Linked DNA regions of Elephas maximus indicus. The protein of the gene in region 2 purifies or fractionates together with the protein of the main gene of each other region. This does not show direct contact. Links are inferred from orthologs where the notes say so. Each region holds a gene or a part of one and is shown on either strand. Other genes may lie near its edges. The genes, in order: CAD, ILK, ATP2A2 and CCT8.

Region 1 (7,436 bases), on a different chromosome or scaffold from region 2:
ATGATCTTATTGTGGTCATGTTTTTAAAAAGAAGACTCCTTGTCTTTCAGAGATAGATGAACTATTGGTGGATGAAATGATACAAAGTCTGAAATTTGCTTCAAAATAATCAGGGAGTGGTAATGGTGATGATGAAATAAGATTAACCAAGACTTGATTATTATACTATTCTCTCCTTTTATGTTTGAAATCTTCCACCTAAGTGATAGCTTCTCTGGCCCCAGAAAGCAATCTAACCCTTCTAAAAAAAAAATTTTAGATCGGGCATATTCTATCACAAGCTTGGACTGGAGTCTAGGAAACCTTATCTTGATCCTTTCCATCCAGGCATACTGTGCTCCGCCGAGACACACGTGTGCTTGCCATCATACCTTGCAGGCCAGGTATGCCATGTTCCTGCAGCCACTCATGCAGAGTGCAGGTGGCACTCCAGTGGCTGGGCGTGGGGCAGCACTCTCCTACCACCAGTCCTGCCACGTGGATCTCTGAGGATTCAAACCACTGTAGATGGAAGGAGGAGACTGTGAGGAGCAGCTCAAGGCCAAATATCTCCCTCTGTCACTTTTACCCATCTTCTCCCATTACGTGGCCATGGGCCCTCTATTTCAGTTACACTGTATCATCTTCACCACCACCCAGCACTTCACAGCTCCCTTTACCAACAATACCATCCCCCACATTAAACATTAACACATGGAGTGTGTCTTTGTCACAGAACCGTGAACTCAAGAGCAAGGTGCCTGACACATAGCATCAGTCAACAAACATTTTGAGTCTTCACTAGGTGCCAGGCATTGTAACAGATGCTGATAGAGCAGTGAGCAAGAAAAGATAGGGTCCAGTCTTCATGATGTTTATTTCCTTCGTACGAGCAGAAAATTAACAAGTCGACATGTAAACTAACAATAATTACACAGGTTATACAAACAAGGTGCTAAGATAGGTAGGTGCTCGATACATTACTAAATAAAAGCGAAGGCTCAAGTTACAATACTGTAAGTGATTATACCTCTCCACTCCAAAAGGACTAATTAAAAAAAGAAGAGAATACGAATTTGTTAACTGATCAACAAGCATTTAGTAACTAAATGGAGAAACCAGTAGTTTATTTGGGAAGTAGTGGCATATTTAAATTCCATTCTGCTAAATGGTAAAAGGTTTAAGGGAAGATGGATGTCGAGACTGTTCTTTAGGAATCTGAAGGATAGAGTTTGGCAGATGAGTAAAAACAGCCCTCCCTGACAAGCGAAGTCCACCTGGCATGGGCAAGTACATTTACAACACATGTGCTACAAGGGCATTGGCGTTGGGTTGGTGGTTGCGGAAGGTCTCAATCTCTCTGGTCTAGCCAGGGCCACAATTTTAGAGGTCTGTAAACTCAATTCTGTCAGTGTGCCTAGAGCTGATAGAGCTGAAGGCTGATGTATGTTAACCAAATTCACAAAATATTGAATTAAAAGTTAAGAGTGCAATGTATTTATAGGTTTGTGATAACAAATGGGCCTTTCCAGGAATAACAGTGTTCGTTATCCAGTCTTTCCAGCGTCAGGGTAACCTGGAAGGCAAATCTAGAATCTAATGGTCGGTTGCTCAGTAAGCCTGGAATCATGGACAAAATGGGTTTTAAGGAATACTGCTATGTTGACTTCCACTATTATCCCAATTGCTAGTTTTTTTACTACTTTAACTCAGAGGGCATCTTGGTTTCCAATTCCAAAGGAGAAAGAATAGTGGCAACCTCACTGAACTTCAAGAGGAAACTGAACTTTCTTACCTAGAGGTAAGAACACTACAGAAAAGAAGTAGAAAATGAGGTAAGGAAAGTATGTTTAGAAGATTGTAACCAACTTTCACTGGTTCTGTAGGTGAACTGGGACCCAATGTCTCTGGAAAAAGATGTGATCTTGGTTTCCAGCCCCCTTCCACTAATCTATGCAATCCTGAAGCATTGCTCCCATCATGTGACTCTTGTTAAACAAGCTCCGAAGGGTCCTTATCAGATCAAGATTAGACGTTGGTTTGACTTCATTCCTATTGTATCTAACCCATCTTTGCGTTACTTCTGCATTATTCTTCTACACTTTTTGCCACTTTCCTTGATTCATGTCTTCACTGTTGTTTGTTGTGAGACCTATGTCTCCACTACATACACAATATTCTGGACTTTGCCTATAGCCTTGGTGCCCCTAACAAAGAGGGGATAGCTCTCTCCTCCTAGGCTCCCACCATGCTGAGCTTCTCAAAGTATCTACCAACCCAAGTTTAACTACAGTCACCTCAGTACTTATCACTTCAGTGTTTATATTTGTTCTCTCCAGGTTGCCTGGCAGAGTGTCAATGTCTTCACTTCACTAATAATTATTGATTTGAAAAAGAATGTAGAGAAAGCATTGGGCATGGCTACCTTGCTGAGACCGAACTCATCCACTTCATCTGGGGGGATGCCATAGTTGCCGATCAGAGGATATGTCAGGACTAAGATCTGTGCTTTGTAGGAAGGATCAGTGAGGGCCTCGGGGTAGCCCACCATGCCGGTCTGAAACACTGCAAAAAAGGGACAGGGAGAGGGCTCCGCAGGGTACCCTCCAGAACTCCGCCCCGGGCGAAGAGATGCCCCCGTCAGGGTACGCTGCCATGGGCGTGACGGGTGGTAAGGGCAGGGCTGGGGACCTGGCGGCAGAACGCGGGGAGGGTGTGCAGGCGGGAAAATGGCGGGGTCTGGGCAGGGAAGGCAGTGCGGAGATCGGAGTGGGATGAGGTCGGCAGCCTGCCCAAGCTTGCTTACCCACTTCCCCGGCAGTCGAAACAGAGGCCCCAAAGGGCTGGCCCCGCAGGACCGACCCGTCCTCCAACACCAGGGCCGCCATGGGAACGGCGCTTAGAGGCAGGGCCGAGCACGGACAAGCGGTGGAGCGCCGCAAGCCCCAGCCGGCGCTGGAACCACGTGAAGACGACGCGCCGGGAATCGGTCCACGTGGCTAACCGCGCCGGTGCCGGAGCACAGGCGGGCGTGGTCCGCGCAGCAGCCTAGCGCGCCGGCGGCCGGGCGTCTGCGGCGGCGCAGGGAGCCGGCGGCGTGAGGGGCGGGGCCGGGCACGCACGGGGCGGGGCCGGAGCGGCGCCGCGGTGGCTCTGCGCCGCGAGACCGCGGTCTCCTCCTCCCCTGCAAAGGCTAGGGAAACCCGAAAACACTGACTACCCCAAAGCGGCCTCTTACATCCCAACCAAGAAACACACTGAGGCAGGGCAACTTTTCCTAAAAACAAACAAACAAAAAACCACATGACAATGACAAGGAAAAAAGTGTTTATTATAGTCAACAACACAAACGGGAACTGGTACTCTACCCCTGGAGAAGGTGTCCACAACACTTGAGAATAGGGCAATTTTCCATCTTCCTTCCAACCTCGTCCTCGGCCTGGATGACGCCTTAACTAGGTCACTAGGGGGACCCATGTGGTTCATGAAGACTTGGCTTTTCGGCGTTGGGTCCCCCACAGCAGAATGCAGATGGATACCGTGGTGGATCCCAGAATCCCGAAGAACACAATTAGTGAGAACGAGCCCTGTAAGTAACAGTCCAACAACTCTCATTGAGCATTACACTGAAGGCTACAGCCTAACACCTAGTTCCCTGTTAGTACACTTGTTCCCTCATTCAGGACAATTCTAACTTTGCTCCCCTGGGTGACGTGCATTAGCTTCCGGTCTTGTGGCTCTTCTTTGAGACAGGTTTCTGCTCTATGCTTTTTTCTCTAAGGCCTCATTCCTCACCTGGCGCATACACTTGTAGCCATGGAAACCATCAGCGCAAAGACACTGCAAGAGACCTGGACCATTAGGAGCACAAGATCCATTCTCAGGACACATTTCTGGCAGCCAGAGAAAAACAGAGAACATCACTGGATCTCATCAGATAAATTTCTTAAATATCTGCTTCAATTCAGGTTCTCTCAATCCTTTGTAGATCAGTGGTAAACATCACTATAGATAATCAGAACATAATGACAATATATTCTAAAACTTTTTTTCCCAATTAGAGCCTCAGAACTCTGAACAAAAGGCACCTAAGCAATTTTAGTCTTTCTGATCTAAAATGAGTAAGAGAGGAAAGGCAGTTGCCAGAAGGGCAGAGATGAGACAGCATACCTGGGCTTCCAGTGCTGTTGCAAAGGTTCCTTTGCCCTTGGCAGGTTTGCTTGTCTGTGTGAGTGGTGATAGTATTCCAGGCACTAATACCTCCAGGACAGCTGACATTTTGTGGCAGTATCCTGAAGACAACACAGGTTGTCATAATATATTCAACCCAAAGTCGCTGAGCTCACAGCACTACTCCTCTTATTCTCTCCCCTAATCCCCACACCCTGTACTTACAGAGTCTGGAGCTGAGTAAAGCCATGGAAGGTGTTAACCAAGTCATCCTTGAGGGGGTTTGCTTGCAGGTCTCTGCAAAGCACACACTGTTAGCATTCTGCTCAGGACAGCACCCATCTCCATTCACACATCTTCCTAGACTGGTAATCCAGAGTAAACTTAGACATTAATACTCATCCATCTTTTTAGGAGTCCATCCCCAAAGACTGTCTCATCAACCCTTTGCCATAGTCATTTTCTGGGAGGGAGGGGACCTAACCACTTACATGATGATAGCAGTATGTGCCTGAGGGAAGTTTGGACCAGGGTCCTTCAGAGAACAGTTTTGGAGATCCAGCCTGAGGAAACAAAGTAATCAATGTAACTGTATGTCCTTCTTCTTCATTCATGACAAGGTTTGTATTTGATACCCAACTCCCTTTTAGGTTATCAGTATAAATTGAAAACAGCCTGTGTGAGAGCCACATACTCGGTGCTGTGGTAGATGTTGTAATCCTGCATTGTCCAATACAATCATCACTACCTACATGTAGCTATGTAAATTTAAATTAATTAAAATTAAATTAAAAATTCAGTCTCTCACTGGCACTGGCTACACCTCATGTGGTCAGTGGCTACTGTATTGGGCAGACAGATATGGAACATTTCCATCTTTGCAGAAAGTTCTAATGGTCAATGCTGTTCTAATAAGTACTATGTCCTGTCAGTTCACATCTGTACACATATTGGATTCACATCTGTACACATATTAGAAGAAATTTATTCCTTGTCTAGATTAGTGGATCTCATATTATGGCATTACGAGTCTCAGATCCAAAAAGGGCTTTCGAATAAAAAAAAAAAAAAAGATGCAAGTCACATAAATGAAAATTTCCTCAAAGTACATTATCTATCACAGGCTGGATATAAGCTCCTGGACGTTACGGACCCATGCTGCAATTATTTTGTCTTCAATATCTATCACTTTTCGTTCCTTTATTCTACAAATATGTACTGTATGCCTACTAATTGCAAAACATTGGGAAAGTATATATATTTATACACACACATATAAAGTCTAACTCAGTATCTTAGCCTTCAAGTAGCTTACAATTTAGTAGGGGAACAAGAAAATCACCAAAAACAATATAAACGTTAAATTACAATATGAAAGAAATAACAGTACAGCGTGTAAATAAATTTGAGTGGTACAGACACTAAGTATTAGAGGAAGTCAAAGAAACTATTACTCTGGGATTTAGTAGTGGGAAACATTCACAAAAAATGCTAAAACTGAAGGATGGCTATGTCCTAATTTGGTGAAAGAAGGTAATTCCAGGTAAAGAGAGAGGCTCTCCAAAACAACAAAGAAACAAAAGTAGAATGCCTTTGTAAGTGAATCTGGCTGAAGCCAGACCCTCACTGGGGGTTTGACTGGACAAATAATTGGAAATAATGTAGGAAAGGTGGATTGTGACCAGTCTGTGGTAGGTATCAAATGTCTAATGCATGGTTTGAACTTTATCCTGAGAAAATAGTTATAAATATGGTCTTAAAACCAAGAGAATGGTAATGGAAAAATTTGGTTTTGGGGAAGTTCGAAGTGAAGGTGAAGCATTCCAGATGAAATGTTTAATAATAAGTTGGAAGTACCCATACGTACCTGGAGCTCTGAGAGGTGTTAAGGACACTGAGAGAACTAGTTTTGGGAGACACCTACGAGGTGGTTATAGCTGAAGCCATAAGAATAGGTGGATTCTCCAGAGTGTACACGGAGAAGGGCGGAGGGTCAAGGAGTGAATCTGAGGGACTAACTAGTATAAGGGACAGTGAGGGGAATTTGCCTCAAACACGAATTAATCACAAGGGGAAGAAAACTGTATTAGCATAATGTCTTGGAGAATAACTGGAGACACTCAGTGAATAATACAAAGACTTGATAATAAATAAAACAAAACCGGAAGCATAACAGCTTATCAAAAAATTTTAAAAAACAGGTAAAAATTATGATTTTTATGCAGCTTTAACCAGAAAAAACTATAGGATTGTTTCCTAGCCAAAAATGATACACAGATTTAAAAGTATGAGAATGAATCATGGTTTAAAAGGTGCCGCCAATATAGGCACGAATAGTTATGCCAAGTCTATCAAACAAGCCTTGTGGACTCTGTTCTGAAAACTCCCCCGCCCTCCCCTATCCAAGGATGTGTTCTCCCTCACCCCAAGATGGCGCCCTTCTGATTGAAGCAGCAGCGGGCATACAACATTAGCTTCGGGGTCTGCTTACAAAACAGAGCCACTTCGGACAAATTTTGCACACTCCCTGGGCACTGGATGCATATCTGTAGAAGAGAGAAACCTATTAGGACCCCAGAAAGAAAAGTCAAGAACAGAACGGCGATCCAGAGTTAACTGCCAATATACCTCTCCTTTTCTCTAACAAAGGGCGGGGAAGTGGCTCTTGTCCTACCTTTTATCCGGTTGGATAGGGGATATCTTTCTTTCCCTAGAGGCAAAGCAGCGCATCAAACACTTCCATTACCAGCCCTCTCCAAGAAAATACTTTCATCTTTGAAAAACAGTATTCGACCATATTTATTATGCCCTCTCCAGTGACTTCTCAATCTGACAGCTCCGGTTTGACCGGGTGTATAAGAACAAGAAGGTACACAATGAACTCATCGAACATTCCGGAAAGTAAAGTCCTGCCCACGCACGAAATACTGCATTCGTGCGCGCACAGCTTACAGAAGAGCCACAAGACTGCTCTGTTAAAAGACAAGCTTCAAGCTCTTCAAAAACTGAGTGAGGAGGTCAAATTTCAAGTCTTTAAAGGTAGGCAGGGCGGGGGCGCCAGGAGGCGTGCGAACTCCGGAGCCAGGCCCGGGAGGAGGCTTCAGGGACGAAATCTGAGCTGCGGGCCGGCTGGGGCAGGGCGTGCGAACGCTATACACCAGCTTGCCCGCAACTCCGCTTCAGTCCGACCTCTGACTTGCTTCGGTACCTCGGGTAGCGCCAGAGCCCTTTCCACCCCCAGAGCGAGGAGCAGGGCGGTTGCACAGAGCACCAGGCTCGTAGGACCG
Region 2 (7,352 bases):
ACACCTGTCACAGCCTTGAAGGCCTGGGCAGACCAAAGCTGAAAGAACAGCAGCTGTGAGTGAGCAGAGGCGCTGGTCTGCAGAGAGAAGATCTGAAGAGAGGAGTGGAGACAGCAAGAAAAAGTCCATGTGGCCCCTGAGATGGAAAAAGAAAACTAAACCCAGAGATGCCCTGAATTCCAAACCATGTAGTTTCCATGACGCCTAAAGGGATCCATGATTCCTGGACATCCCTGTAGTCTCGGGATAAACCCCTTAGTCTTTAGCTAGTCTGAGTGACTTCATGCTTCTTGCAACCGAGGAAGCCTCCATTAGATCAGGGGCCGAGCCAGGGCCTTCATCACATTTTGTTCTTTGGATGGGGCAGGGTGACATCAGGTCCTAGCTCACAGCCTGGCTGGCTACAGTTTTCAGGGCTCTGAGCCAGGAGTTTGAACCCTGCCTCCCCTTTCAAGGGAGGTCCAGCAGTCACCTGCGCTTGTAGAGACATGGCTGAAGCTTTAGGCCTGAGAGTTCAGCCTTTGGCCCCACCAGAGGGGGTCCAGTCTTCTGGAAGTCGAACAAGAAGAAGTGGCTGTTGGTCAGGTCCTAGGGGCAGAAAAGATCCAGTAAGTTCTAAATCCTCATCCTAGCTGCTCAAAATACCTCCTTCCATCTCCCACCCCTGTTCAGAAAGCTTCCCAGGGCTACCCCATGAGTTGTGCCTTCAGAGAGCAAATGTCTGTTCTTGTGCTTATGGCCTCCTTCCTGTACACCACTCCCCTGGAAAGGGCTGCACATAAAACAAAAATAGACTTTCTAGGGCACTTACCTTGGAGATGACCTTGAAGCCCAACTTGGTCACAGCCCCTAGAAAGGCCCGAACATCTTGAAAGCGGCTGCTGACCTCAGCCACTTTCAGAAGACCCCTGAGAGGGATGGAGAGTTCTGTGTAAATGCAGACACGCGCATGCACACACATATATGCATCTGTGTCCACAGGGTTCCTACCCTGGCTTCAGCACTCGATTTGCCTCCTCCAGGAAGTCCCTGATGTTAGTTCCCATCAGTGACAGGCAGAACACAGCCACGTCCACAGACTCATCCTCCAGGGGCACCTGTGGAGAGAGACTGCTGTATGAAGCATGCAGCTGGGCAAATGGGGGCAGGCACACAGTGTGGGGAGGAGGAGAAAGCCAGCACTGGGTGCTAGGGTTGGGCACCTGGGCGGGGGGTTAGGAGGAGGAGGGCTTTAAAGAGATGAGCACATGGACCTAGAGCACAGTCCAAATACACAGATGAGTTTACCTGGGCCATGTCACACACAGTGACCCTGGGGTCCAGAGAGGCCAAGTCAAAGCAATGCACAGGGTTCCGGATACTCGAAGCCAAGCGACAGTCCCCACAGCCGAAGTCAGCCACCACCAGAGACGCAGGCCTGGGAACGGAAGGGAAGGGTCGCTCACTGGCCTGGTCAGAGCCCATGATAACTGACCCATTATCACTTCTTACAGTGCCCACCCCCATTCACCTCTGGCGAAGATCCCTGATGATGCGGTCCACAGGCTGCAGGGGCCACTTATTGACTTGGCTCTGGAAGCCACGGTGGTAGATGAGAAAGGCCTCTGGGTCTTCCTGGAAGAGGCGCTGTGCAGCACTGCTGGGCCCTGAGTATAGCTGTTCGTTGAGGTAGCGAAATCGGGCGCCATCCAGCCTCTGTACCATGCGGGCTCGCAGAGCTCCCGCCCGAGCCTCGTAGCCGTCTGGCCTGGGAGGAGGAGGCACCTCTGCCTCCTCTGTGGGAGCCAGGGCCAGAGCCTGGGTTGGCGGTTGAGGTGGCCGAAACTTGTTCTTGTGTCTCCGCTTATTCTTCTGTCGGTTCCGCCACTGCTTACGGCTCAAGGTATGGGGTAACTGAGGGGAAGCAGACCCAGGGCTTGGCTTGTGTGGGTCATCTGCAGCACTACCCTTCTGGACTTTGGAACCTGCAGGTAGGGCAATGGGAAGGTGTATTTGAGGCAAGATCCTCTGCAAGCAGACACTTGGCAAGTCACATTGGCCATATGCCTGTCTTTTTTTTTTTAATGTGGTGAAAGTATACACAACAAAACACTCACCAATTCAACAGTTTCTTCATGTACAATCCAGCAACACTGATTACATTCTTCGTGTTGTACAACCATTGTCACTATCCTTTCCTGAATTATTGCACCACAATTAACATAAACTCAATATCCCCTGATATGCCTGCCCTTGAGACAGAGACTGTGGCCTGGATGAAAGTACTTCTTATTGGCTAACCCCAGTCCTAATGGTGACAGGTAGCCTCTGTCACACGTAGGATCAGCTGATCTTCCCTGCCCTCCCCTGCCCCCCATATATATATGTACATATCCAAGAGTACCTGTTTGGTCAACACTATCCAGGTGCTGGGCTCTGCTTGAAGGAGCCTGTTTCTGGCATTTCCTCTTTCTTTTCTCCTCTTCAACAGACTCACTGCCAAGAAGAGCCCGTTTGCAGCTTTTCTTCTTTCTTTCCACTTCCTCATCCTCAGAGTCACTCCCAGACCTGGCCTGTTTTTGATGTTTGTTCTTCCTTTTCTCCTTTACTTCAGCAGAGGCACTAGCAAACAAGGCCTTTTTGGGGCGTTTCTTCTTCCTTTCTATCTCCTCCTCTTCAGAGTCACTTTCAGGTAGGCTGGGGGGTTGCTGGGGAAGAGATGCAGCCTCCAGGGCCCGTAAGGTGGCCAAGAGCTTGCGGTGCTTGGAGCCCTTGGGGTAAGCAAGGTATGAGAGTGGGGTGAGGAGGATAGATGAGTTCTGGAGTGTAAGAAGGGAGAGGTGGGAGCCTGATTCAGGCACTGGCAGAGATATCTGGATTCTTCCCAGTCAGCTAAGTTGGGAAGCCTGCAAGACCCTGAAGAATGTTCATTTCCTAGTCCCAAACCTTGGGAGGTGGAGAGTGGAGAAACCACCCACTCCTCCTTCTTCAATGTGCAGATGAGGCAATGGAAATTCCCTAGATGAATGTGCTCAGGCCACAAGCAACAGGGCCCAAGGCCAGAGACCAGGAGTTCCAACTCTCAATTTCAGGCTTTTGTCCCCAGCTGATGATACCACTCTATAATAAGTAGGGAGCCACAGGTTTCTGAGCACAAGAGTGACAGGATCAGATGTGCGCATTAAAGATGCCTCTAACTGCAGTGTCAAGAGAAAACCTACAAAGAGACCAGTGAGAAGGTTGTTCCAAGTGTACAGGCAAGAGAACAGTGATCTGGATTGTGGCAATGAGCTGAGGAGATGAAAAGGGAATAAGCAGATGTCAGTCATGCAGATTTCATATTAGAAGCACACTGAAGCGTACAGGAAGTAAGAGGGTGAGAAAGTACAGCAGCCGGCACATATGTAGAGGCTCAAAGGTGGAGGCCTTAGTGGGGGAGGCTGATTCTGGGTTGAAGTCCTGCTGGGTGGTCCTAGACCAGGCACTTACCTTGGAGGTTCTTAGTTCCCACCCATACCCCCTTTAATCATAATACTCATAGCCCTATGTCACAAACTCTTGCTCTCTCCAACCCATTCTCCACACACTGTAACCAGTGATGTTTTCAAAATGCAAATCTGAACAAATCGCTCCCCTGTTACAAATACTTCATTGGCTTCTCTCTGCACTTAAAATATACAAAACTTCCACCTCTCCAACTTAAACATCATCCCCTCTCACTTACTCTCTGTGCTCCAACCACACGGATCATTTTGGTGGGCCCTAACAGGTCATAAGCTCTTGCCCCACGACCTCTGCACGTGCTCCCCCCTCTCCCCCCCCCCCGGTCTAAGGAACCCTTTTTGCTTAAATTTCTATTCATCACTTAGCTCAAATATCATTTTCTCTTAAATGTTTTCGGATCTTCAATCAGAACTCGCCTCAAACGGTGCCGCTGGGCCCACCTACCCACCCAATACACACTTGGTGTGCCCCTGGCGCTGGGATTTCCCTAATGCTTTGGCGCCCCAAAACAGGTCCCAGTGCCCCTGCGTGGCCACTCACCTTGATACGCACGGCTGCCGCGGGCCGGGGCCCTGCGGCGACGGGCCCGAAGGCCGTGGCTGCTAGGGCCTCCTCGGTCCACTCGGGCTCCTCGAACATGAGGGCCAGGAGGGCAGAGTCGCGGTGCCCGGCGTCCCTCCACGTGCGATAGCGTCTCCCGGAGTCAAAGTGCCTACACCAGCCGGGCAGAAGCTGGGAACCAAAGAGTGAAAGCCAGGGGCAGCTAGAGCGGCCGGCGCAGCGCCGAAAACCATCGAGTTTCCACACTAGCGAGCTAGAAGGGCAAGGGAGGGGCGGGAAGGGAGGGAGGGAGGGAGGCCCGCGCCGGCCCGCTAAGGCCAGGGGCGGGGCGGGGCCGGGTGGCGGGCGCGGCCGGACGGGAGTTCCCCGGAGAAGGCGCCTCGAGCCCGAGTCCCGGTGAGTGCGGGGCTACCCGCGCCCCTCCCCAACACTCAGGCCCACCAGCCCGTGACCCCTCACTCCGTCTGAATTCCCGGGAGGGAATGGGGTCCATACGCGGGGATCCCCTCCTACCGGGTGTACGGTGCCCGGACCTCCCCACTCCTGCCCCCGCCCCCAGCTCTGTTCGCGGGTGGTGTCTCCGTGCCTGCCCTCCGATATCCCTTCGGCAGACACCAGCGCCTATCTCCTTCCCCTCCCGGACTTGCCTTTCCCTCATGCCCAGTGGACACAGTCGGGGATCATCCCATTGCACTAAATTCCCATTCCTGACCCCCTACAAGCCGGGGACGCAGCGCCCAGACGCCCGCCCCCAACAGAAACACTTCTGTCTTGTAGAGGACAAAGGTTGGGGCTCACCCCTCTCCCCTGGGTCACGCTGTAGTCCCCAGGCTTACCCGATCTAGGGCACTCAGCGCCGGGACGCTGCTATGGACGACATTTTCACTCAGTGCCGTGAAGGCAACGCGGTTGCGGTGCGCCTGTGGCTGGACAACACGGAGAACGACCTCAACCAGGGGTGAGCTCAGGCGGCTGGTGGGGAGAGGATGGCCAGAGTCTTACCCTTCTCCCCGACGTGGGGTGCTCATGTCTGGCGGAGGTGGCCAACTTTTCCATCCAGTGTGATGAGTGTTAAGCACAGCTGTGGAGGGCAGAGGGTCTCCACGGAAGAAGCAGTGTTCGAACAACTGAATGAGTTTCACAGCCAGAGGCCGCAGAGAGCATTCCAGCCTCAGTGAACTACATGGGCGAAGGCAGGGAGGCAAGACACAAAGCTGAGAGTTACAAGAAATTTTCTGGAGTTCCATATGGCTGGAGGATAGAATACTGTTTCTGTGGGCTGCAGCGTTGGATACAAGAGGAGAATGATAGGAGATAAGTCTGGAGAGGACTGCAGGGGTTAGCCAGATCGTGTTAAGATATTTAGGGCATAATAAGGTCTTTAAGAGCAAACCCTTAAAGCTGTGTAGTAATATGATGAGATTGCCCATTTGTTAAGTATCATCTTGGATGCTTTATGAAGCACAGGCAAGAATGCGTATCAGGAAGCTATTCCAGAAGTGACAATGGGTTGGACTAGAATGGGGGCGCCTGACAGAAGTGATCTGATTCCAAAAATCTTTAGGGTGAGGAATTGGTGGTGCTTGCTGTGGGAAGTGAGGAAGGTCATAGGTGATAACCAGGGTTCTGGCTTGGACACTTAGTAGATGGTGGTTCCTTTTACTGAGATGGAGAAGACTGAAGGAAGATGATGAGTACCATTTTGCATGTGTTAAGGTGACAAAACAGTAGGTTATTGGTTATGCAGATTTTGTGTTCAGGAGAGATCAGAGTTGGAGGCACAGATTTGGTAGATATTAGCGTATAGATAATAACTGAAGATGTGTGTGAAGGAAAGAGCCTTGGAAGAGTGGAAGACAAGACGGCAGGGGATGAGACGCCTGCAAGGAGACGGAAAAGGAGCAACCAGAGATTGAAGGAGAAAAAGAAAAGTGTGTTAGTAAAGCTCAGAGAATGTTTCAATGAAAGCGGAGTGGTCAACAGTAGTGCAGTGTGACAATAATATAGGCAGCTTTAAAATAACTTTACCTGTTGAATTTGCAATTAGGATATATTTGATGATTTTGGTGAGAGCCATTTCAGAGAAAAAATAAAGTGGACTATATTGGGTTCATTCATTTAAGGAAACGTACTGAACATTTCCTGTGCTGGGCTCGGGAAACCCAGAGTCAGATCCCTTGATCCCTGCCCTCAAGGTGGCCAACCTGTGGCAGGTTAAAAAATGAATGGGAGGTGTGGAAATAAAGTGAATGTAAATGTAAACAAGTTCTTTAAAACTGGCTGAGATGGCAGTAGTGATGGCGATTCACAGTGGGGATTATAATTTATTTTTTAAAGTTGGGGGAGTGTAATGTTAAGATTTGAAAGGTAAGGATCACCAGTCATCTTAGTTTAAGCTTCACTGGTTCCCATTAGACTTTATACAATTTCTCCCTCATAATTTGCAGAGTACACTTGTTCCATTTTTCATATTTCTCAGAGGGTGCTTGATAAAAACAGTAAGCACCATTCCTACTTTCTTGAACAAACAGAGGCTTAGGCATCTAGGAGGACTCTTCTGCCAAAAGGTACAGTGGCATTAGGGAAACTAGAAGGCTTTGGTGCTGGTTTCAGGGGACAGGGTCTGGGGGCCCAAGCTGGATATATGCTGGGTATGAGGGGGTGGAGGGACAATTTCCTGCAGGCATCTCTGGGATAGGAAATCCAGAGCCTGAGGTGACGGGCAACTGGACATTGGGGAGAGCCTTTGTGCCCATACTTTTGCCCTCAGGCTGGTCTGCCCTGGGGCCACAGACTGCTGCAGGCTGATAAGTCAGGGCACAAATTAAGGAACTGAGAGGCAAGACTGATAAGCAGGAGGTTGCAATTGCTTCCGGTGGATACCCACCTCCCAGGAAAACTTTTGGCTAGCTGTGTTAGCAGATGAAGGCAAGCTGTAGGAGATCTGTAAATTAGAGGCGGCAGTCCCCACCCCCATCAGCTGCTTGTGTGTCAGGGTGGCTAGACCCCTGACAAGCTCCAGGCCCCGCCTAGAGCCCCCGATGGGAAGTGACTGAAACACTAAGGCATCTGGAGGCTGCTAGCCCAGACCTTGGCCCGCCCCCTGCCCCGCCCCTTGGGTTTGCAGCCTGGGACTGGAGGGAATTTCCTTTTATGGCCCCAGCCTGTCAGGCAGGCCCAGCTCCCACCCAATTGCTTTGTTTTTTGTATACTTCTTTTCCTTTGTAAAATACATGCCCTTAAGGGAAAAAAAAAAAAAAAAAAGTCAGGTATAGTTTTCCTTCCAAAGCAGCTGTTCTCATTTTCTT
Region 3 (7,408 bases), on a different chromosome or scaffold from region 2:
AACAATTAGATCCAGTTGATTAGTTCTTTTCAATCTGGGTGATTCTCTAGAAGTTCTGTTGGATAAAGACATAGAAGGCATGCTGATCAAATCTGTGGGTAATCCAAAGCTGGGAGGTATAGCTAAAACATCTCTTGAGAGATGAAGACTCCAAAAGACCACAACATACTGCCAATATGAACCTGCTAACATTCAATTACAGGCAAAATTTCATCTGGGTTAAAAAGAATTAACAAAGCAAGTACATGCTGAGAAGATTTAACCTGTCCGCAGCTCACATACAGAGGACTCTGTTTTGAGTTGACTGTTAACACAGATCAACCATGTGCAGGTGAAAGGATCCAGAAGGTGGGTAGTGATAACTGTCCAGAGTTTTGTGTCCGTTAGTGGGCATCTGCAGTACTGGATGACAAGGATGCTGAGAGGCAGCAGAATTATGCTGTAGGAAGAACAACTCAGGGACTGAGCTGCTCTTTTTCAGCTGGGAAAAGAGACTTTTAGCACAATAGACATCTTGAAAGGGATATCACATAGAAGAATTAAAGTTATTCAGAGTGGTTCCAGAGAGCTAAACAAGAACCAATGTATAGAAGTTAATGGGAGGTATATTCATATTTGGCCCAGAATGAGACTGCTTTACTGTTTAGAGTGGTCCCAGTACGGAACAGGCTGCCTTTTGCAATCTCCATCACTTTACAGGAGGCGCATGGAAGGTTGGGGAGCTGACTGGAGCCTCTCATTTCCAAGTCACTCTTTTTGTCTCCCTAGCTTTTTAAACCAGGCTGCCTGACCAGCTTCTGTCCCCCTTTATTGATGCCTTTGAAGTTCTTTGATTAAATCATCTGTCTTTCTGAATCACAGGTTCCCTTCTTCTTTTCTCTCCCTGTCCTCAATTTATTGAATATAGCTGGAATCCTTGGTGGAAAAAAGAGAATATTTATACAATCCAATCTTGTTTTTAACCTTGCTAAGAAGAAACAAGTGTAGTTCAATAGATGAAATATATTGAGCACAAGTTTACTTCTACATAAGAGAAACTAGATCCATCTGCCTATGGGAGGCTGGGTTTATGGTAAATTTGGCCACCTATAAACATGCTTCAATATTCCAATTCAGAGATATCAACAGATTGAGAAATCAAGGGTATAATAAAAAAACCAAACTATTTGCCAGCGAATCAATTCCAGCTTATGGCAACCCCATGCGTGTCAGAGTACCACTGTACTCCATAGGATTTTCAATGGCTGATTTTTCATAAGTAGATTGCCAGGCCTTTCTTTCAAGGTGCCTCCGGGTGCACTTGAATCTCCGACCTTTCTATTAGCAGCCAAGCCCTTGACTATTTGCACCACCCAGGGACTCCAAGGGCGTAATAATTGGTATGATAATATAGAAGGGGGCAACCCTAGGTGAAAAATCCAGCCTACAGGAGATAAAAAATACTTGTGAAGAACAGCCGAGCCGAGGAGGGTGATGGCAATGTGGTAGCAGTACCAATGTGAACTTAAACATTACTCATCTCTGAGAAACCTATAATGTTGTCTAGCTTTGCTTTTGTTTATTTTAAACCTGATGAACCTTCATAACCATTCCTATGAGGCAAGTAGTTCAGAGTTCCTCCTATTTTTCACAAATTGGAAATCAGTGATCTTTGGCTCAGCAAAACTTCCCTGAGGCCCTCCCATGGGCAATGCCCTTTGCAAGCCATTGAACAGTTGGGGATGGGGGGACTCATTCATTCATTCCAATAGTAGGCACTCAGTAATTGATGAGTGTATACCAGAGACCGCTCTGGGTACTGAGGATGGATGAGACAGCCAACATCTTTTCATGGAGCTTACCTATATCCTAGTCAGGGGAGATAGGCAGCAAACAGCACCACAAAAATGCAAAATCAGGGATAAGAGCTGTGAAGAAAACAAAACTGAATAATGTCATAGAGGGTGCCTGGGGAGGGTAGCCATTTCAGATAGAGTAGTCATCAAAGACCTCTCTGGGAAGGTGATGTTTAAGCTGAGCTCTGAATGATAAAATGGAACTAGGCATGTGCAGGTCTGAAAGACCACCATTCCGGTTCTTCCAGTACAAAGGGCTGAGGTGGGTCAGGAGCCCCTCAAGAACCTCATGATTGCCCAGAGGCGCTTACAACTGTCATGTAGAGTCCGGACCACAGAATGAAGATCCAAAGTCAGATGCCCAAGATAATTTCCAGGCTGAGAAGAGGTACTGATCCTCCTGCCTGTGGTGCTTCTATCAGTGCTGAGGGAGGTGAAGCTGAAGAATCGGTAAGAAATGGCGGCGCAGACCTGGTGTCCAGGGACAAGAATCACCAGCCTTCTATCACCACATCCCCAACGATGGTCACGTGCTTCCTGCAAGAGGCTTCAATCCTGTGACCCAACCAGTTTCTACCTTGTTCTTTCAGTGCACTGCTTTACGCGAGCACTTTTTTTTCTTGTTTCGTGTAGGGCTTTTTTGGTCCAAGTATCAATCAGAACTGCGCGCCAGCCTCCACTCCTTGGAAATAATGAAATGAAATGACATGCCTGTTTTTTTCACTGGGGTAATATACTATGATTTGCATTTGCTGAAGGAATTTATCTGAAGTCCTGAGGCTGAGCTGTCTAGGACAGCTGAGGTGCTTTTTGCTCCGCTTTTGTTCATGCAGACGGTACACTACTGCCAAACAGTTAAGTGGCCTAAATGCTTCCTTCTGAAATACGCTTCATTAAGAAAGCTTCCCTTCCTTGTGAAGCCAGTATGTTCAGTTTTGCTCAGAAATTCAATGCAAAGGTCCGTCCCTTTAAGTAGGAATTTCTTTATATTGTCGAAATTTCTTTTATCTTGCTTGTACCTAAGCTTCGTACAGACCCCAGAAACAAATTATCTGTGACTTAAGAATAGCGTTAGGAACGAAGTCCCTTCTATTGGGGAAAGTGGAGTCTAGAAAATCACCTTCATCTTCTTCAAGTCCCAGCCAAGCATCCGACGCAATCCTAGCTGCAATTTAGCAGTTACGGTAGCATAGCCTGTAACTTCTATGCAGACATGCATCACAGGCGATATGGGCTATTACAAATAAAAAACCTCCCCCTCCCTCAGACTGGGGTTCCCTGTCAGGGTACAGAGCCCGCTGGAGAAGGGCTGATACGGCGTGCGGTGGCGCCCCGGCTGGGGACGTGGGTTGCGGCGTTCCTGAGGCGACAGATGAGGAATTTGAACCGTGTGGGAAGAAAGCTGCGGAATTCCTCCCCTCGGCTCCTTGGGGATCTGAGGGAGACGCACTAGCACCCAGAGCGCGGTCCTGCAGACAGAGGCGAGACCGCGAGCCGAGAGCACCACCGAGCGCGCCTTGGGGAAGCCCAGCGTGGACCGAGCGCCTCGGCCTCGCCCTCGCCTTCCCGGCCACCCACCCTGGCCGAAGTAGGCCCCGAAGGGCGTTTCCTCGGGGCCGCGAGTGCACGGAGGGAGGCCCCCGAGGCCAATCACACTCTGCCACCCTGGGTTCTGCGTCTGCGGGAGAAGCGCGGGCCGGGAGCCGCAGGACTGAGGAGACGCCGGGGCGCGCTATCCGCCATCCCGCTTCTGCCCTCGGGCCGCAGCGCGCACTGCGCGGGCACAGCGGCGCGCTCCGGCCTCGATCCGGGTTCCTGGGCGGCGCGCGGAGGAGGCGGGGCCTGCGCGGCGGCGTGGGCGCGAGGCGCGCGATAGGGAGGGAGCCGCGCGCGGGGAGGGGGCGGGGCCGCGCCGCCCGCGCCGCGCTGGGCGCTCTCGGCCAATGAGCGACGTCCACATGCCGCGGCGGCGGCGAGAGGGGAGGCAGCAGCGGATAAATGCTATTAGAGCAGCCGCCGCGGAGCCGTCCCCGACGCCACCTCATTCTCCTCCGCCGCAGTTCGCTCCGCCGCTGTCGGGGGTGCGGGGCTGAGGGAACAGGGCGAGCGCGCCGCACACCACCCCGCTGGCTCGCCTCCCTCGCTCCGTTCAGCTCTCTCAGGGGTCCGCCGGCGTCCCCTCCTGCGGCCCAGGCGGGGCGGCTGATCGCCTCAGGAGAGCGGGAAGCACTGGGGGCCGCGGCCTGCGCTGCCGGCGGGCCGTTGAGGGTGAAGGAGGCCCTCCTTTCTGCCGAGGGTCGGAGGGCCGGGGGCCCCCAGCCCGCCAGTGCGGGCGCCGGCGCGGACCGGCCTCGAGAGGGGAGGTTGTCGTGAGAGGAGGCGCGGGGTGATTCAGCGCCCGGGAGGCGGAAGCGGCCGGAGGAGGAGGCGGGGGAGAGGCCGCGATCGGCCAGCGCGCGCCTGGGCGCCCGGGGTGGCACGAGCCGGCGGCGGCCCGAGGGCGAGTCTGAGGCGAGGAGGCCGCGGGGACGCGAGAAGAGGCTGGCCGGGCCCCCGCCGCCATGGAGAACGCGCACACAAAGACGGTGGAGGAGGTGCTGGGCCACTTCGGCGTCAACGAGAGCACGGGGCTGAGCGTGGAGCAGGTCAAGAAGCTCAAGGAGAGATGGGGCTCCAACGGTAGGTGCCGCGCCGGGTGCGGGCGCCGCGTGGGCCCGAGCGCCAGGGAAGATGGCTGACCCGGCTCCGCCGCGTGGGGCTCGGCCGGGCGCCCGCCGGGGTCTGCAGGGCGGCTCAGGGCCCGGCCCCGGAGAGGGGCTGCGGCGGGCCGCCCCGTCGGGCTCGACCCTTGGCGCCCGGAGCTCTTGACCTTCCCGGCGCGCAGCTAGCGCGGTGGCCCCGTTGGAGGGAGGGCCGAGCCCTGCGAGACGTGTTCTCGTCCCGCGCCGCTTTCTGAGGGCGGCGTTGCCGCTGGGAAAGCCTCTGCTCTCGTACTCCCCGAAGTTACACATCTGGAAGAAGTGATGACATAGCTGAAACGACTCCTTCCTTCAGGAGGCCAGTTTCGCCGCGATGCTTTCCTCCTTCGGGTTAGACATAAGGCCCCTAAAAACTATTGTCTATTTCATTCTAGTATGCTTCATATTAAAAAAAAAAGATTGTTCATGTATCTAGGTCTTTCTTTCAAAGACAGAGGTGCTGATAATTTTAGCAGTTCTTTTCAGAAAGGCAAGAGTACTAAAAATTTTTTTTTTCTTGCCCTCTTTCGACATGCTGCTTGGCGAATTTCTTCATTTTACAGAGTTACCGGCTGAAGAAGGTAAGTCATCTTAAAAGGCCCCCCCCCCTCTTTGGTGTGCTGGTGTTAAGATGACAATTATAACAAGTATGTTTGTTTCTAACAGGAAAAACCTTGCTAGAACTTGTGATTGAGCAGTTTGAAGACTTACTAGTTAGAATTTTATTGCTGGCAGCATGTATATCTTTTGTAAGTATAAAGAAATTTATTTCTTCTCCCCCCCCAAAAGTTGAGGATATTCCATAGATGAAAAGCCAGAAAACAGTGGTGTCCATTGGAGGAAAACTTAGAGATTTATGCTGTCTCCATGTTTAAAAAAAAAGAAACATGAGATTTTCAGGTTATAAGCAAAACACTTGAAGCCATTCGTGTGCAGTACATATTAATAGATGCTTGATGTTTACAATGTAATTAGAAATTGTTCCCAAATGTGGCAGGGTCTTAGAAATTTTGTTTTACTACCAAAAAGTTCTTCATTGGGAGGCCTTTTTGGGTTCATCCATTGTTATGTTGTAAGATCGTACTAAGATGCTGTCTGGTGCCTCGTCAACTGTAAATAGAACTTACAAAAGGAATATTCTAGTTGCTTTCCCTTCCTGGTAATGGCAAGGTGACAGTTGTTCCTGAGAGTGACAAGAATGATGACGGCAGTGATGGCACCACTGTTGACCAAATTTGGTCACTGACCTTTAGGATGGTATATTTATCTAAATTGGACCCCTGTCTTGAGTGACTTCTGGGTTGAGAGAACTAGATTCAGTACATTGGTTCTGAATCTTAAAAGAAAAAAACCCAGCATAGGGTTTTTTTCTTGTTCTGTATGTGCTTACCGGCTGGAGTCCTGTACGGTTGCTAAGAAACTGGTGAAATGCAAAGAACTACAATAGAAAGGTTTGAGGGGGGGCGGTATGAGAGGATATTTCTAGGCTATTAATTTTTTTTCTGTTCACTATTAATTTTGTATTGCTTTTTTTTTTTGAGCCATGCACTTTTTTGGTAGATTTCCTAAAAACGTTCGTGAGCAGGACACAGATGTTCCTAATCCTCAAAGCTTGAGATCCCTTTTGTTTTTAAATTAGTTACAGCATTTTATTCTTACGAAAACCGTGATGGGAAGTGAAATTCATCCAGGCGGTACTTTTTTCTGGCTTCACAAAATTGACGCAGCTTGAAGGTTTCATTTTTGTATGTACGTATGCAAGCCCCAGGGATCTATCTCAGTCTGTGACAATCATGGATAGAGGACTATTTTGAGAACTAAATAAACTAGAAGTGGGCATTTAATTAGTTCAGGTGAGGGAAAGGATTGCTTTTATCTTCGTTTTTTTAAGTAGAGGGTGTCAAGAGGTGAACATCTGGTGTGATTTTGTACGTAAATTCTGTCTACTTAGCCAAGTGATATGTAGCCATTAATAATTCACCATCCCCATACTAGAGTCTTTTCTGTGGTGTTCATTGAATAAAATTGAGAGCATCGCATAGCAAACCGTTTAGCATACTGAATCACTCCATATCTCTTGTGTGTATGTTTTTGATTTAATCTTTTTAAAAATTTCCTCCCCTCCCCCGGTAAATGCTGCTGTATCAAATGAGATAAATTGAGTAGACCTGTTCGATTAACTGGAGCTGTATTACGTTGCCACCGGGCAAAACAAGTGACATATTTGGGCTAGTATAATATTTATATTTAAGTAGGCTACATAATTTTGAAATAGTCTCAGTTCACTTTGGCAGATAATAGGGTCCAATTAGGGTTCAACAAACTGTTGCCAAGTTATTCTGTCTGTTGTAACTTAAAGCAGTGTTAGAAATAATGTTGCTGATGTTACAATGAAGTATTTACTGGCTGTTTGGGTGGTTCTTTAACTCTGAAGTCATTATTAGGTGTTAATAGTTTCTAGGCATTTTCAAATGGGTTTTAAGTTTGCTGTGAAGTAGGACGTTGGCTTTTTAGAGCTATATTTTGGATTTGAAATTTGAGTTACGTTTGTGGTAACTAGTTGGGAGTTATTGTTCAGGAAAGAGCAGTGTTATGTTTCTGTTTTTGTGGGTTGCTAATTAACAAATGAATACTAAGTGTTAGGAAGTAGTTTTACTATAGAAATCACTTAAATTTGCCTTGCTTTGGTTTGTTTGGTCAAGAATTTGTGGGTGTTAAATCTGTTTTGTTGATTTCCTTCTTGTGAGGCTGGCACTGCTTTATTGTACTTGACCTTTTCACTCCTCATATCTTTATCTTTCAAAAGAAAGCCCCTGAGTCTTTTTTTTGTGGTAG
Region 4 (6,886 bases), on a different chromosome or scaffold from region 2:
AATATCTACATATGTTTTTAAGGTAGTGAAAAGGCAGTGTGGGGAAGAGTACAAGATCGATCACAAAACATGTTTCAGGAAGAACACCTTTTCAGAGTTTATCTGTATTTTCTAACCACAGGTTGAAATGTGGTATGGACATTTTCCTTACTCTATTAAGAGCCTAGGCTTTACGGCCAGTGGGAATTCCCACTCATAAAGTAAATGAAGCTAAATACCTGCCTCCAAATACTTAGGCGCTAGAGCACACAGGCTTCTGAATGGTCTTGTAATTACAATTCCAAAGCACGCAAACTGAAAAACTGGTGAAATGGTGGGAATGCTAAAATTCTGAAATTTTACACTGGACTTTTTCAGAGCTAGAATTAATTTGGGGCCTCAGATAGGCTTTATGAGCTTCCTGCAGACCTGAGCATTTTTCTAGAGCCGCAATGTCCTAAACAGTAGCCATTAGTCACACACAGCTATTTAGGATAAATTCAGTTCCTCAGTAGTACTTGTCACAGTGCAAGTGCTCAGTGATCACATCTGGATAGTGGCTATCGTAGTGGCACAGATATAGAACATTTTCATCATCGCAGAAAGTTCTGGACTGTGTTGTTCTAGACATTAAGGCATAGCTTAAAAAATATTCATAGAAGGAGCTGTGATTCAGAAAAGCTTAACAACCACTCCTTCAGAAGTTTCTCCAGTGAAAAGAGCGGGACTCCTACAGCAGCAGTCAGTCTGACCCCCAGGCTTCCTCTCTTGCTCTTTTCCCTCACCCTCATCCTGGGAAACAAGGTTTTTTTTGTTTGTTTTAAATCATAAATCAGACCCCATCACTCCCGTATTTAAGACCCTTCTATGGCTTCCCATCACTCTGAGAATAAAACCTAAATCTCTCTTTAGGGCTACAAGGTCCAACAAGACCTCACCCCTGCATACCAAAACCTGTTGCTACTGAGTTGACTGGGACTCATAGCGACCTAGTCTTTTCTGGATATTCTGGTATATTTAGTTTTCCAGGTGAACTTATTCTTTTGTCAGATACCTCCCCAAACCCTGTTGCTTCTTGAAGTTCTTAAAAGTCCTATTTTTGAAAGTTGAATTGACAGACCCTGTAGGACAGAGTAGAACTGCCCCATAGGGTTTCTAGGGCTGTAAATCTTTACAGAAGAAGACTGCCACATCCTTCTCCCACAGGGTGACTGGTGGGTTCAAGCTGCTAACCATTTGGTTAGCAGCGAGCACTTAACCACTCTGCCACCCGGGCTTCTTGCCCTGGCCTACAGCTCCTCTACATACATCTATCATTTGTGTCTACCCTTGGTAAGCTTCAGTCCCATCATCCTTCTTACTGCTCTTTTAACAGGTCAAATTAATTCCATCCTCAGGGTCTTTCTACTTCAACACTCTCCCATCTGATCTTGGCTGGTCCATCCTGTCAACTCAGAACTAAGCTAAACATTCTTCCCCAAACATCTCATTTGTTTTATTTGCCCCTGACCCTTCTTTTTTTAGGGAGGCAGTTTTTTTGTTTGTTTAATTTCTGTCATTCTCAACTACAGTACTATTTGTTTTCTTCAGGCAACTATTTAAAATGTTGTTGTTTATTTGATTATTTCTTCCCCAAAAGAATATAAAGTTTAAGAGAGCTAAGATTTCTTTCATTGCAGGCCCTCAAGTCCCTATTTGTTGAATGATTATCTCACATACAGCAGTCTGCAGAAAACTACTAGCATCTGAATGACATTTAAATAAGGTTTTGTGATACAGAACAATTTTCCAAACCTGTATTAATGAAAAGTGCTCATCCTGATTTTTTACGGAAGCAGCCACTGCCCATTTCAGCGAACTTGTTTCCCCAACGTTTACATTATACACTGACATTACTACACCCAAGTTATCCTCAAAGCACATCCTGCAAGTAGTAAAAACCTAGCTTTCTAAAACTGTTAGTGCCCCTTTACGTCCCATAAAACCTTAAATTCAACCTCACTGATCTGTATTTCCTTAATTAGGCAAAGAAAATGTGGGAAACGAGTATCAGAACACCATTATTCCAACGTTCAAGACCTGACCATAAGCCAAGATAATTTTATTTGGGTCAGAGTGTCAGTTATCTTGCGGGTTACACAGGTAAGTCACATGGTTAGAACTCAAAGGTACCGTCTTCTGGTCCCATCTCCTCAACTGAAAGACGAGGAATTCAAGACTCAGAGGGACAAGTTCTACACCAAACTAGCTCACAGCAGTTGGGGCCAGACCCCACTTGGATTGCATGTAATGTCTGTCCTACTCTAACACCTGCTTCTACAAGCGAAAAGCGACAGAGGGGAGCCCTCCGTTCTCCTGTGGAAAGAGTCAGCCAAGAACTGGTCCTTGTTCTACGCTCTCCTCGTTGCGTCTCCCTCCCCTTGCTCTTTCCCATCCTATAACCTCGAACACTACGCCAAGAGCTGTGCGTGAACCGGCTTCGCGGACCCAAAGCAGTTCTCACCCTCACAATATCCTGTAAAAGTGGAGAGCCAAATTAGCCCCATTTTACGCATAGAGAAAACGTGCACCAGGACCTCTGCGCTCGCCCAGCCAAGAAGTGAACGCAAATGCCGGCCTCGACCCTCATCTGCCGTCCCTGCCCCTCCGCCCACCTGCCTTTCCCCGGGCCGGGGAGGGACTGAAATGCCCGCGGACCGATGGGCTGAGTCCTACTGAGCACTCCTCCCTTTCTGGAATCTTCTCCAGCCCCGCGCGCGGCGCCGGGGGAGCGTGTCCGGCCCGTTACTAGGCCCTTCTCCTTCGCTAAGGTCGCCGCAGCCCCACGCTGACTCCCCCACCTGACCCTCTTCCTCCATCTCTTACTTTCGCTCCTTCCTTGAGCATCTGGGCAAAGCCCGGGGCCTTGGGGACGTGAAGCGCCATGCTCGGTCTGCACAGAGCCGCTCACGCGCTCACTCGGCTGCTCCCGGAGGAAGCGAGGGGCGCGCACAGCCTTCTGGGAGTGCTACGAGCCGCGGCCTCAAGCTTTCAGTCGCTCCAGTTGGGCACGCCTCCTCTCCCCTGCGTAATCCTCAGCCGACAGCATCGCGAGAGCGAGGGCAGCTCCCGCAGCCAGAATCGAGCAGACGATCTTCGATCAAGTCGATCAATCGGGCGGGTGGCAGGCCGCGCCTTCCGGTCAACGCATGCGCAAGAAGCCTAGGCCGTTTGAATCCGAGCTCGTCGTGCTGTTAGGGTCGGCGGGAACGTTTGGTTTTCGTTGGTTCTGACTTGGGAACGCCCCCCTCCCAGGCTTAATTTCCCAGACCCAGCCACCAACATCAGGGCAGGTGTGCCTCTTCTTTCCAAGGCAGAGCACCTGTTTGTATATATATATATGCATGTATGTATATATAACATAATTGAGCGTCGGCTCTGTGCTGGGCATTGCAGGAAGTGCTGGGGACGTGAAGGTGAAGATTAAATTCGTTAATGAACGTAGCATTGTATCAATGACTCATATATTCCACGCTCTGTTATTTGCTTTACGCACAGTATCTTAGTTAACGGCCAGTCTTAACAAGTTAACTATTTTCTCCATTTAATAGAAGGGGAAACTGAAGTTCACACATGGCAAATGATTTCCCTGAGACCACAAAGCTAGTAAATGTTAAAGCCAAGATTCCTACCCAGATGAAAAAAAAAAAACCCAAAATGCATGTTCTCAACCACTATCTATATTCCCGTTTTCTACTTCTTCCTGCAAAAATAAATCCCTTTTGTTGTCGTTGTTAGTTGCCCTCGAGTTGGCTCTGACTCATGGTGACCACCTGTACAACAAACTGAAACACTGCCTGGTGCTGCACCATCTTTAGGATGGTTGATATGTTTGAGTCCATTGCTAGGGGCCACCGTGCATTTTAAGAGTCTTCGAGCTGGCAAAAACACGCTGGACTGCTAACCCAGCTGGTCCGATGGAGAAAAGACCTGGCAATCTGCTCCTGTAAACATTACAGCCAAAAATACCCTATGGGGCAGTTCTAGTCTGTCACAGTTCTACTAGGAATCGAAACTGATTCCATGACACAGCAACCAACCGAGGGAGTTCATTTTCTAGCATTATATTGGACAATAATCTGTTGTGATCCATAGTATTTTCATTGGTTAAGTTTTAGATCATCGGGCCTTTCTTCCTAGACTGTCTTAGTCTGGAAGCTTTGCTGAAACCTATTCACCATGGGTGACCCTGCTGGTATTTGAAATACTGGTGCCAATAACTTCACAAAACCTAGAACTGCCCCATAGAGTTTCCAAGGAGCGCCTGGAGGATTTGAACTGCTGACCCTTTGGTTAGCAGCCGTAGCACTTAACCACTATGCCACCAGGGTTTCCGCTATAACTTCATAAAAAAAAAAAAAAAAACTTCATAGCAACATGCAAATCCACCACAGTATGATGAACCGACAGACAGATGTTGGAAATCCCTTTTACACTCCTAACCAGTTGCCATGCAGGCAACTCCAACTCATGGCCAGCCCATGAGTGTCAGAGTAGAACTGTGCTCCACAGGGTTTTCAATGGCTGACTTTTTGGAAGTAGTTCGCTGGGTTTTTCCTCCAAGGTGCCTCTAGGTGAACTCAAATTTCCAACCTTTCAGTTAGCAGCAGAGCACGTTAACCATTTGCACTACCCAGGGACTTTTACTCTCCTAGAATCCTTTAAAACCTGATCTCTGAATCTTCCCACATCATCTGATTTAAAAAGATTGAATAAGGGAGAGCTATTTCTTTTTTTTTAATGTTTAGGAAGTAGTGAGGGTTTATGGTGAAATTTGGCACTGATTATAATTATTATAATTGATAGCACTAAACTGTGTACTGAATGTTGAATTGACAAATGTGTTATTTTTTTACAACAATAAACAAAGACTGAATGATAATAGAGTTGCCAGGTGATGGTCACTTTTACGTGGCCTTTCTTGTCATGGTCTTGTAACTCCCACCCAAATGATTGGGTTGGACTTTGCAAATAAAGGAATTGTGGCCCACCAAGGGGATTGGTCAGTTTTGCCATCCTTCCGGGCTTAAAAAGAGCCATTCCAGGAGAGAGAGGAGAGGATCTTACTACCACCTAGGAAGAAGAGCCAGAAGCAGAGCGTGCCCACTGGACCCGGGATCCCTGAGCTGGGAAGCTCCTGGAACCAGGAAACCAAGAGAGAGGGCTGTAACATTGAAGTCAGGGAGAAGTGATGGCAGAGAAAGGGAGGCAGCAGAGCCGAGAGACTGGCGTTGAAGACAGTGGAATAGTAAAGTCATGCTAATGTGGATAATAAGCTGTGTGGTTTTAAATGGTTTCAGTTGTCACTCCTAACACTTTTTTATGGTGACAAAGAGGATTGTTTCCAGGTGATCTGAATTTCCTGTGAGCTGAGCATCAGGGTTGATGTTATGTTCCAGATGTTGTTCTTGTTGTTAGGTGCCATCAAGTCAGTTCCCACTCATAGCGACCTTATGTACAACAGAACGAAACACTGCCTGGTCCTTCACCATCCTTACAATCATTGTTATGCTTGAACCCATTGTTGCAGCTGCTCTGTCAATCCATCTCGTTGAGGGTCTTCCTCTTTTCTGCTGACACTGTGCTTTGCCAAGCATGATGTCCTTCTCCAGGGACTGATCCCTCCTGACAACATGTCCAAAGCATGTAAGACGCAGTCTTGCCATCCTTGCTTCTAAGGAGCATTCTGGTTGTACTTCTTCTAAGACAGATTTGTTTGTTCTTTTGGCAGTCCGTGGTATGTTCAGTATTCTTTGCCAACACCACAATTCAAAGGTGTCGATTCTTCTTTGGCCTTCCTTATTCATTGTTCAGCTTTCACATGCATATGAGGCGATTGAAAGCATCATGGCTTGGGTCAGGCGCACCTTAGTCTTCAAGGTGACATCTTTGTTCTTTGACACTTTAAAAAGGTCCTTTGCAGCAGATTTGCCCAGTGCAATGCACCTTTTGATTTCTTGACTGCTGCTTCCATGGGTGTTGATTGTGGATCCAAGTAAAATGAAATCCTTGAGAACTTCAATCTTTTCTCCTTTTATCATGATGTTGCTCATTGGTCCAGTTGCAAAGATTTTGGGGTGTGTTTTCTTTATGTTGAGGTGCAATCCATACTGAAGGCTGTGGTCTTAAATCTTCATCAGTAAGTGCCTCAAGTCCTCTTCACTTTCAGCAAGCAAGGTTGTGTCATCTGTATAAAGTAGGTTATTAATGAGTCTTCTTCTAACCCTGATGCCCGGTTCTTCATATAGTCCAGCTTCTTGGACTATCTGCTCAGCATACAGATTGAATAGGTATGGTGAAAGGATATAACCCTGACGTATACCTTTCCGGACTTAAAACCACTCAGTATCCCCTTGTTCTGTCTGAACAACTGCCTCTTGATCTATATACAGGTTCCTCATGACCACAATTAAGTGTTCCAGAATTCCCATTCATTGCAATGTTATCCATAATTTGTTATGATCCATGCAGTCGAATGCCTTTGCATAGTCGATAAAACACGGGTAGATATCCTTCTGGTATCCTCTCCTTCAGCCAGGATTTGTGTTACTTCAGCAATGATATCCCTGGTTCCACTTCCTCTTCTGAATCCAGCCTGAATTTCTGGCAGTTCCCTGTCGATCTACTGCTGCAGCTGCTTTTGAATGATCTTCATCAAAATTTTGCTTGTGTGTGATATTAATGATATTGTTCAATAATTTCTCCATTCGGTTGGATCACCTTCTTTGGAACAGGCGTAAATATGAATCTCTTCCAGTCAGTTGGCCAGGTAGCTGTCTTCCAAATTTCTTGTTATAGATGAGTGAGCACTTCCAGTGCTGCATCCGTTTGTTGAAACATCTCAGTCGATATTCTGTCGGTTCCTGGT

The links.
Region 1: the proteins of ILK (region 2) and CAD purify together in Homo sapiens (affinity purification with mass spectrometry; 4 studies listed by BioGRID and IntAct, with this or other methods). This does not show direct contact. The link is inferred for Elephas maximus indicus from reciprocal best matches to the Homo sapiens genes ILK and CAD.
Region 3: the proteins of ILK (region 2) and ATP2A2 purify together in Homo sapiens (affinity purification with mass spectrometry; 3 studies listed by BioGRID and IntAct, with this or other methods). This does not show direct contact. The link is inferred for Elephas maximus indicus from reciprocal best matches to the Homo sapiens genes ILK and ATP2A2.
Region 4: the proteins of ILK (region 2) and CCT8 purify together in Homo sapiens (affinity purification with mass spectrometry; 4 studies listed by BioGRID and IntAct, with this or other methods). This does not show direct contact. The link is inferred for Elephas maximus indicus from reciprocal best matches to the Homo sapiens genes ILK and CCT8.

The regions. Positions count from the first base shown.
Region 1 is NC_064830.1:45,716,015-45,723,450, reverse strand, and holds the start of CAD (CAD protein), read right to left. Parts: upstream 3,019-7,436; 5' UTR 2,868-3,018; coding exon 2,786-2,867; intron 2,545-2,785; coding exon 2,405-2,544; intron 502-2,404; coding exon 372-501; intron 1-371. Other genes in the region: ATRAID (all-trans retinoic acid-induced differentiation factor), read right to left, coding at 3,462-3,566, 3,775-3,872, 4,150-4,271, 4,375-4,446, 4,641-4,712, 6,574-6,695, 7,358-7,436. UniProt on the Homo sapiens protein: Multifunctional protein that encodes the first 3 enzymatic activities of the de novo pyrimidine pathway: carbamoylphosphate synthetase (CPSase; EC 6.3.5.5), aspartate transcarbamylase (ATCase; EC 2.1.3.2) and dihydroorotase (DHOase; EC 3.5.2.3).
Region 2 is NC_064825.1:60,261,520-60,268,871, forward strand, and holds the start of ILK (integrin-linked protein kinase), read left to right. Parts: upstream 1-4,348; 5' UTR 4,349-4,440; intron 4,441-4,821; 5' UTR 4,822-4,913; coding exon 4,914-5,002; intron 5,003-7,352. Other genes in the region: RRP8 (ribosomal RNA-processing protein 8), read right to left, coding at 469-588, 812-908, 991-1,097, 1,288-1,417, 1,511-1,964, 2,384-2,750, 4,024-4,122. UniProt on the Homo sapiens protein: Scaffold protein which mediates protein-protein interactions during a range of cellular events including focal adhesion assembly, cell adhesion and cell migration.
Region 3 is NC_064840.1:8,905,767-8,913,174, forward strand, and holds the start of ATP2A2 (sarcoplasmic/endoplasmic reticulum calcium ATPase 2), read left to right. Parts: upstream 1-4,396; coding exon 4,397-4,514; intron 4,515-5,136; coding exon 5,137-5,154; intron 5,155-5,239; coding exon 5,240-5,322; intron 5,323-7,408.
Region 4 is NC_064836.1:32,734,946-32,741,831, reverse strand, and holds the start of CCT8 (T-complex protein 1 subunit theta), read right to left. Parts: upstream 3,005-6,886; 5' UTR 2,905-3,004; coding exon 2,845-2,904; intron 1-2,844. UniProt on the Homo sapiens protein: Component of the chaperonin-containing T-complex (TRiC), a molecular chaperone complex that assists the folding of actin, tubulin and other proteins upon ATP hydrolysis.